2 linked regions of the Drosophila melanogaster genome follow. The protein of the gene in region 1 purifies or fractionates together with the protein of each later gene. This does not show direct contact. Each region holds a gene or a part of one and is shown in the gene's direction. Other genes may lie near its edges. The genes, in order: Irp-1A and Cisd2.

The links.
Region 2: the proteins of Irp-1A (region 1) and Cisd2 purify together in Drosophila melanogaster (affinity purification with western blotting; one study listed by BioGRID). This does not show direct contact.

The regions. Positions count from the first base shown.
Region 1 is NT_033777.3:22,720,817-22,726,841, reverse strand, and holds Irp-1A (iron regulatory protein 1A), read left to right. Parts: upstream 1-2,254; 5' UTR 2,255-2,317; coding exon 2,318-2,330; exon of another isoform or gene 2,331-2,390; coding exon 2,391-2,483; exon of another isoform or gene 2,484-2,494; intron 2,495-2,554; coding exon 2,555-2,724; intron 2,725-2,790; coding exon 2,791-3,520; intron 3,521-3,582; coding exon 3,583-3,683; intron 3,684-3,746; coding exon 3,747-4,518; intron 4,519-4,582; coding exon 4,583-5,412; 3' UTR 5,413-5,522; downstream 5,523-6,025. Other genes in the region: RNF220 (ring finger protein 220), read left to right, coding at 573-1,769.
Region 2 is NT_033777.3:29,221,440-29,225,335, reverse strand, and holds Cisd2 (CDGSH iron sulfur domain 2), read left to right. Parts: upstream 1-1,907; 5' UTR 1,908-1,996; coding exon 1,997-2,093; intron 2,094-2,566; coding exon 2,567-2,790; intron 2,791-2,854; coding exon 2,855-2,935; 3' UTR 2,936-3,119; downstream 3,120-3,896. Other genes in the region: Brd8 (bromodomain containing 8), read right to left, coding at 1-1,766; eEF1gamma (eukaryotic translation elongation factor 1 gamma), read right to left, coding at 3,560-3,896.

The DNA.
Region 1 (6,025 bases):
CTTACATTTCGGATGTTTAAACTTTTATCAAAGCGGGGGCTGTGCTTTATAAAAATTTCCTAACAGTGAGGGAGAGACACTATCTGTCACATGTTATATCGGGCATGTAAACAACGCAATCTGATAATATATATATATTGCTGTATTAAGACCAACCAGAGTAGAGTAAAAATTAAGAAATCAGTACGTTTAATTATTTTATTGTAAGACTTAAGGTCAAAAGAGTTGTTGGAATGCAAAATGCAAACTTTGAAGTTTTAATTAACACGGAATTCAAACAAATAATCAATTATTATAAAGATATTTTTAAGTGAATAAAATTTTAATTATTGCTTAAGCATATTAATCACTGTGCTTGGCGCTTTTGTAACGGTTTTACGATGTATATCGCAATGACCACTTCCACTGACACGAAAAATAACGAAATCAGTGTGACCGTTTTCCACCGTACGAGAACGTAAGAAATCGGCGTCGCGTGGCTTGGACAGAGATTATCGAACAAAACAAAATCCGACTACAGAATCTTTTAACTTCGTTTACCCTTAAGAGTCCGCGGTGGATCCGAGGAATCGATGGCTACGGACACGGTGTCCAACGGCGAGAACTTCGCCCAGCACTTGAGCAGAAACAGCGACGACGACGTGATCTGTCCCACATGCGACGTGAAGATCAAGCGCAGTCAGGTGGCCGATCACTGCCAAGTGGAGATGGAGCGATTGCACAATCCCATTAGCGCTGTCACTCCACCGACCCCAACTAGCGGAGCAACCGCGTCCGAGGAATCCGGTTCGGTATCGGGGGGCAGACAACCGTGGAGCGTGTTCCAGCGGGTGCAGCGCAATCGGCAGGCCCGTCAGCGCCAGCGCACCAGGAAGCGTCCGGCTTCTCCTGCCCCACCAGCAACTGTAAATCCTACGGTAGCAGCTGCTCCTCCTCCAGCTGCAGCAACTCCGTCCGTAGCTGCTGCCGAATCGAGCCAACCCACCTGTCCCGTGTGCAACCACAACTTTCCGCAGTCCAACATCCAAGAGCATGTTAATCATTGCCTGCGCCAGAGCCGCCGCAATGGTCAGGCCAATGGTGAGCGGCATTCGAGTGAGGACTCGGAGGACAGCGAGGAATATGAAGAGTACGAGTGGGCGGGACAGAAGCGCATTCGCGTCTCCACTCTCGTGCAAGGAGGCTATTCCGCCCTGGGCCTGGGCCAGAGAATCAAATACAATGGCAGTCAGCAGGCGCAGGACGACGAGGACGAAGATCTCAACGTGGACGAGGATGACACTCACATCTATGGTCCTACGCAGTATGGCGAGGGCGATGTGATCCCACTGGTCAACGAGGACACAGAGGGAAATGTTTCCGAGGCGGATGTTACCAGCTACGTGCGCCGACTTATCTCCTCCAGCGATGGGCCCAAGCCAAACCATTCCAGCGAAGCCACCGAGCAAGAGCCTGCCAGCACAAGCAACGTGGAGGCTCCACCAGCCAGCGAGGAGCCGTCTACGTCGCGGTCCACGCGATCCACCTCCCAAAACCAGCAGCAGATCATCGAATCGCTGAAGGCCAAGCTGCGGCTCTACGAAAAGCAGGCGCAGGGCAAGTACAAGTGCCTGATCTGCATCGACGACTACAAGAATCCCGCCATCTCCGTGTCCTGCTGGCACGTCCACTGCGAGCAGTGTTGGTTGCAGACGCTCGGCGCGCGAAAGCTGTGCCCGCAGTGCAACTCGATTACCACGCCGAAGGACCTGCGACGAATCTACCTGTAGACGTCCATCACAGACTTGTTATCCCCGCTGCCAAATTGCTTGCGCCATAAAACAGGCTTTGCATCCCGACGCAGCTTTAGATGATAATCCCCTATACATATTATTTATATAGATTACAAATACCAATTATACTACGTGACATTACAATAAGCCTACCATGTAACTATTGCAATAAACCGCAGAAAACATAATTAATATTTAAGTTTATTTAACGAAATTAGCATGTAGGAAGGGAAAAGCGTTTAAAGACATGCAAACAAGTTATTTTAAATACCTTATTTTGAACTAAAATAAAAAAGCAATCAATCCAATATTATATCCAATATTATTTTCGAATCACAAAAATGATAAATTATTCCACTATAATTTACAAATGTTTCATTTTAAGTAATAAATAAATATTTTTTACTGTGTACCGGTTTGTTTTCATGTTCAGTTATCGATAATATAATGTTTGCGTTAGTGATGAGCAAGTTTTGCCTGGTAGCGGTTCCTCACGCGCTCATCTCTATATCACATTGCTTGGTTTTCTGTTTAATTTTTCCACAATGTCCGGCTCCGGTGGGATTTAATTGGAAAAAGGAGTATTTGATCTGTACGCTAATCCTGTCTTCCTTGCAGGCGCCAATCCCTTTGCCCAGTTCCAGGAGTCATTCACCCAGGACGGCAACGTCTACAAGTATTTTGATCTGCCCTCCATCGACAGCAAATATGGTTGGTAATCGTTATTGTTGTTCGTTATCATTATTGTTGTTATCTTTATGAATATTATTAACCCCCCACAGAGTCACTGCCCTTTTCCATTCGCGTTCTGCTGGAATCAGCGGTGCGCAACTGTGACAACTTTCATGTGCTGGAGAAGGATGTGCAGAGCATCCTGGGATGGACTCCATCGCTGAAGCAGGAAACCAGCGATGTGGAAGTCTCCTTCAAGCCAGCTCGTGTTATATTGCAGGTGTGGATTATTGCATCACATAGATTATGTTTGTATGTGACTTCTTAAGATATTCCCTGCTTTCAGGACTTTACTGGCGTTCCCGCCGTCGTGGATTTTGCTGCCATGCGGGATGCTGTCCGCGAGCTGGGCGGCAATCCTGAGAAAATCAATCCCATCTGCCCTGCCGACCTGGTCATCGACCATTCCGTTCAGGTGGATTTCGTTCGCTCCTCGGACGCATTGACCAAGAACGAGTCACTAGAGTTCCAGCGCAACAAGGAACGATTCACCTTCCTCAAATGGGGAGCTCGCGCTTTTGACAATATGCTAATTGTGCCACCCGGCTCTGGCATTGTGCACCAGGTTAACCTGGAGTATCTGGCCCGAGTGGTTTTCGAAAGCGACAGTTCAGCGGACGGATCTAAGATCCTTTATCCGGATAGCGTTGTGGGCACTGACTCCCACACTACAATGATCAATGGATTAGGTGTTCTCGGCTGGGGTGTTGGCGGTATCGAGGCGGAGGCCGTAATGTTGGGCCAGTCCATTTCCATGCTGTTGCCAGAGGTGATTGGCTACAGGCTGGAGGGCAAACTGGGCCCTCTGGCCACATCCACCGATCTGGTGCTGACCATTACCAAGCATTTGCGTCAGCTTGGTGTCGTCGGCAAGTTCGTGGAGTTTTACGGCCCCGGAGTGGCAGAGCTCAGCATCGCGGATCGCGCCACCATCAGCAACATGTGTCCGGAATATGGAGCCACTGTGGGTTACTTCCCAATCGATGAAAACACGCTGAGTTACATGCGCCAAACCAGTGAGTCAATCTTAAAAATTATCTAAATTTATTACTTGATATCCATGGATGTGGATCATTAGATCGCTCCGAGAAGAAAATCGATATTATCCGGAAGTATTTGAAGGCCACTCGACAACTTCGTGACTATTCCCTTGTGGATCAGGATCCCCAATACACGGAGGTAAGTGAGATTCTGTTTTTCCAATGCAAAGACATACTAACGAATCACTTTTTTACCCTGCAGTCTGTAACTTTGGACTTATCCACCGTGGTGACCTCGGTTTCGGGGCCCAAGCGACCGCACGATCGCGTTTCAGTTTCCAGCATGTGCGAAGACTTCAAGTCGTGCCTCATAAGTCCTGTCGGCTTCAAGGGATTCGCCATACCACCGAGTGCATTGGCTGCAAGTGGTGAATTCCAATGGGACGATGGGAAGAGCTATAAGATAGGTCATGGATCTGTTGTGATTGCCGCCATCACCTCGTGCACGAACACTTCGAATCCCTCGGTGATGTTGGGCGCTGGTCTGCTGGCCAAGAATGCCGTGCAGAAGGGCTTGAGTATTTTGCCGTATATCAAGACCTCATTGTCACCAGGATCTGGCGTGGTTACCTACTATCTGAGGGAATCCGGTGTGATTCCCTATCTGGAGCAGCTGGGCTTCGACATTGTGGGCTATGGCTGTATGACCTGCATTGGCAACTCGGGCCCGCTCGATGAGAACGTAGTGAACACCATCGAGAAGAACGGACTGGTTTGCTGTGGCGTCCTGTCGGGCAATCGCAATTTCGAGGGTCGCATCCATCCCAATACTAGGGCCAATTATCTGGCCAGTCCGCTGCTGGTGATTGCCTACGCGATTGCCGGCCGTGTGGATATTGATTTCGAGATCGAACCGCTGGGCGTGGATTCCAACGGCAAGGAGGTGTTCCTGCGCGATATCTGGCCAACGCGCAGTGAGATTCAGGAGGTAGAGCATAAGCACGTCATTCCCGCCATGTTCCAGGAGGTGTACAGTGAGTATAGCTAGCTGACTAAGATTTTTCCGCAGCTCTAGGCTAACTGTGTCCGCTATCACAGGCAAAATTCAACTGGGATCCAGGGACTGGCAAACGTTGGAGGTGTCGGATAGCAAGTTGTATCCATGGAGTGAAATATCAACATACATCAAACTACCACCGTTCTTCGAGGGTATGACTCGTGCGCTGCCCAAACTTAAAGGTATCGAGAAGGCTCGCTGTCTGCTGCTTCTCGGTGATTCAGTGACCACCGATCATATCTCGCCAGCCGGATCCATTGCACGAAAGTCACCGGCAGCGCGCTATTTGTCGGAAAGGGGTCTAACGCCGCGCGACTTTAATTCGTATGGATCCAGACGTGGCAATGATGCGGTGATGGCACGCGGAACCTTTGCCAACATCCGTCTGGTCAATAAACTGGCATCCAAGACGGGACCCAGCACACTGCACGTGCCCAGTGGCGAGGAGATGGACATCTTCGATGCGGCGGAACGGTATGCGAGCGAAGGAACACCTTTGGTTCTGGTCGTAGGCAAGGACTACGGCAGTGGCAGCTCACGTGATTGGGCCGCCAAGGGGCCATTTCTGCTGGGCATCAAGGCGGTGATTGCTGAATCGTACGAGCGCATTCACCGCTCAAATCTGGTGGGCATGGGCATCATTCCGCTGCAGTTCTTGCCTGGCCAGAGCGCCGATACCCTGAAACTGAGTGGCAGGGAGGTGTACAACATTGTCCTGCCCGAGGGCGAACTGAAGCCGGGCCAGAGGATTCAGGTCGATGCTGATGGCAATGTCTTTGAGACCACGTTGCGTTTCGACACCGAGGTGGACATAACGTACTACAAGAATGGCGGCATTTTGAACTATATGATACGCAAAATGCTGGATTAGTTAGTGCGTTCGTTGACTTTTATATTCCATATGCATTTCTAGGCGACTTTTAATTGTTATTATGTGCTGGGAAATAAAATTTGACATTCATCTGTGAGATGATAATTATTAAAAAAAAAATATTTCAAATATTTTATAATATTTTAAATTGCGCGCTCTGGATGTTATCGATAGCAGAAATGCCGATGGCCAAACCAGTCCTGCTAAAAATGCCTAACGCCTGCTGGTGAATCATCGACAAGGCAGCAATAAAATCGAATAGTCCCTGTTATATCGCTGTTAACTTAACATAGTTCGCTGCTTCTTTTTTTGTCCGTCCCGTGGACTTTTCTCCAGAGGATTTTGATTCCAATTCGCAAAAGAAAAACATAAATAAGCAACAGATCGTGTGTTGGCCAATAGCTCTGCAGCCAGTGCTCGATATTCACTTGGAAGAACCGCGCAAAAACGCAACAACGCAGCAGGAAAGTCGCGCCTCCGCCTCCCCACCAAAAAAAAAAAACACAAAAAAAAAGAAAAGATCTCGGATCGCACAGGGTTTTATTTTGGGCAACCGCACTTGGACTGGTGGGTGCTTCGGTTCCCTCGACCTGTGGATAGTGCCCAGTGGCGT
Region 2 (3,896 bases), 6.5 Mb from region 1:
GCTGTGTCCTTGCCTGACTTGCTTTGTGCTTCCCTAGTGGCTTGGTGATCTATTAGTTCCGGCTCGTCCGTGCTTCCTCCTGCCTTATTTTGTCCTTGGGAGCTACTTTCCTGTTCGGATTTGTCTTCCGCGGCATCCTCCTTCTTCGGAAGGGAATCAGTGGCCCCATCTTCCTCCATTTTCGTGGGTGGCGATCCTGCAGTATCCTCACTTGAAGTGCTGATAATGGTAATGGTCTCACCAATCTCCTCCACCGCCACCTCGCTGGTCAACGGCTCGGACTCTGCGTCCTCGGTGCCCCTAGTAGATTCACCACCGGACTGACCACGATCCTTACTCTCCTGGGAGGCCACGGCAGCCAGGGGTATATTGTCGTTGGAGTCATCGCTGGATCCAATTACTAGCTCCACAGATTTTGGTTTATCACTGGCTGGGGAACTTTTACTTTGCTCCCGCTTCAAAGCGTCCAGCTTGTCCTCAAAGTCAATAACTTCGGCTTTATCGTTTGATGGCGAGGCTACGACGTCATCCACATTTTTCAGAATCTCATCGTCAATGACACTGGCCATATCAATGTCGATGTCATCTATTATTTGATCAATGTTTTTGAAGACTTCCAGCAGCTGCGCTTCGTTGGGATCCGCCTCGTCGGAGTCTGCTGTGCCAGCTGCAGAAGAAGTGGCTTCGTCTACACCCTGCTCCTGGTTTCCTGACCCCTCTGGCTTTACCAAGCTTCCGCTTTCGTTGGCCTTCGCCGCAGCCATGTTCTTCTCTAGCAGCATGGAGAGTGTGGGTGCCGCCTGCGAGGGACTCCGTTCGAGTGTGGGCGTAGTAGAAGCCTCACTGGCCGGAGGTCCGGTAATAGGTCGGGACATAAACGCCGCATCTGTGGGGCTCTTCATGGTGATGACTGGCTGATTGGCAACAGCTGAGCTTGGACCGCTGGTCAGCAGCGAGGTGATGGTTGGCGCCGTAGCCCTGGCCACGCTGCCAGTTCCTCCGGCTGCTGGTGCAGCTCCTCCTGGGGTGGGCGTTGCAGGTGCATTGCCTGTGGGCGATTTCAGGAGAGATGTGAGTAGAGGCGAAGGACCCGTCTGCTGTTTGCCATTGCCACTGGTGTTTATGTCCTCCACGTCCATATCGACGGAAGTCGTGTCGGCAGCTTGGTTGGAACGCTTGACGGCTAGACTGCTGTTTCGCCAGTTGCTGGCCAGGTCCTTCTTGCGCTGCTCGCGCTCCCGCATGCGATTCTCCAGCTTCATCTCCTCGATGCGGCGCGCCTCCTGCTCCTTCTCGATCTCCAGCCACATGTCCTGCAGCTCCTGCTCGGTCACCGCGTCCGATTGCAGCGACTCAATCTCCCGCTGGATGCGTCGGTAAGTCTCCTGATCCTGACGCATCTGCGCCTTGATCTCCGCCTGACGCTCCTCCGTGAGCCGACGGAGCAGCAATTCTGTGGGCGTCTCCACGGTGGCCGGCGAGGAGACGCCGGCACTGCTTTCGCTGCTGCGCTTCTTGCGCTTGGTGGCCTCCACGCTCTCCAGCAGATTGCCGTACTGCATGGCACAGTTCTTCTGCGAGAACCAGTCCGCCGGTCGGTTACTGCTGCCATTGCCGCAGATCGTCTTCAGCGTGCGGCTCACCGTGATCCAGTTCTGGTCGCCGCTGCAGGAGACCGCCGACGCCAGGATGAGCTGCTCCCGCTTCGACCACGTGTCCAGCGGCATGCGGCTCAGTTGCAGGCGCTCTTGTACCCCGGCAGACATTCTAAACTGCAATTTATTGATTTCAATCAATAATTCGTAAACAAAACAGAATGCTATCGATGACTACACACGAATCTGTAATACTGCCTATCGTCGAAAATGCAGTGTGACCCTAGCACTGCGATACCGATAGGACTGGCTTATCGATTTGCTAGCACCGCTAACCGATAGCAACACAAAAACAAGTTTTCCGAATTTAATAGCCAGTTAAATAAAAAAGGCGTTTCGAAATGGAGCCCATATCACATCTGGTGAAGTCCTCGCTGCCCAATTACTTGTCAAGTCTGCCGGTTCCCGACAGCATCGGCGGCTGGTTTAAGCTCTCCTGTAAGTTTGGGCAATGAGCGTGGTTTTGCCCATTGGAATTTGATTTGCCTTCAAAGGGCGCCCCACATAAACCCAAATCCACGATAATGACGCAGCATCTAGGGGGGCCAACTAAATGGACTACTAAGGTGCAAATGTGGCGTGATATTGCGGAGCTGCTAACGGGAATTGGAAGTGCAGTGTGTGCACTTCCAGGCAAAAAAGTTGCAGCGATTATGCAACAACTGCTGAGCTCGCCAAGAAATTTATAATTGGAGCAAGTTTGTCTCGCAGATAGGCAACTAGATAGACGCATAATACAGGCATACCAACATGGGTATACCTATAAACATATATGCGCATATCTTGGTGCGTTTATAACCCAATATGTGTGTAGGGAACGACCTTGTGCCGGTTACGGCTGATCGACCAAAATATCTAGTTATAAAGCTTAAAATGCACTGCATTCCGTATTAACCTGGTTTCGTTTGCAGTCAAGGATTGGTTGGCCCTGATCCCACCCACCGTGGTGGTGGCCGGACTCGGCTACACCGCCTACCTGGCCTACTGTCCGGCGGCACGGGCCAGCTGCGCGGCCAAAAACAGCGGACGCTGCAACAACCACATCCGCAAGAACGAGCCCAAGGTGGTGGACATGATCGACGTGGAGGATATTGCGGAGAAGGCGGCCTTCTGTCGCTGCTGGAAGACCAAGAACGTGAGTGCATTCTAACCTCTGAAATATTGTGAACAAAATTTTCAATTGAATCCTCTATTCGCAGTGGCCCTACTGCGATGGCAGTCATGGCGAGCACAACAAGCAGACTGGAGACAACGTCGGACCAATTGTCATCAAGAAGTAGATTGCGGCGGTGCATCGATACACAAACGTTCTAGCATTTCCTCTCGCTGAGCTCCAGTTTGCTTTTAAAACCAATAGTAGTGGCCGAAGCTGTTTGAACCCTTGTAATTGTAAGCAATAATTGATGATATTGATGGATTAAGTTAAAAGGAGCCAATAAAATTGCCCAAACATAAATTCAAATCGATATGCTTAATTCTAATTACTAATAAATGCCAGACCTAACCTTTACCAACAACCAAATAAACCACACACACACATACACACACGTGTGAGAGAAAACCGTGCTGTTATTAATAGAAAACCTTTTATTTTTTATAAATATTTTCTGACTGCAGGCGGCTGTTCCGTTGACAATATCATGCTGTGTTATGCTTAGGCGGTTACAAACAAATTCTCCAGTACAAAATGCAGGAGGCGAGACACACGATTCCGCCAAACGTGGGAGGCAGCACGACAGATATTGGATATCTTTAGTGTACTTATCAGTTGGAACTTAAGAAATGGGCATTGTGCTCTTCCTGCATTTTAAATCTCAAACTTTATTGTTACTGCTGCTGTTGTTGTTGTTGGTCTAAATGAGGGCGGCTGCTGCTTTGAGCGGAGCTGGGCTAGGCAGAGATGATTACTTGAAGATCTTGCCCTGGTTGAACTTGCGACCGTCCTTGTCGGTGCCGGACCAGGAGAAGTACTGGGTGACCAGCTTCTTGGTCTCCTCGCTCTTGGCGTCGAGCTTCTTCCAGTCGTAGACCTCGTAGTCGATCTGCCAGTCGGGGGAGAGCGTGAAGGCCAGATCCTGTCCGCGCCACACCCAGATACCGGAGATGGTGCTGTTGCCGTCCTCGCCGAACAGGCAAACGGAGGCGAAGGCCGCCTTGCGCATCTTGTCCAGACGCTGGAACATGCCGGTGATGAGATTGCACGACATGAACACCTTGGACAGCTCCTCGTTGTATTTGTAC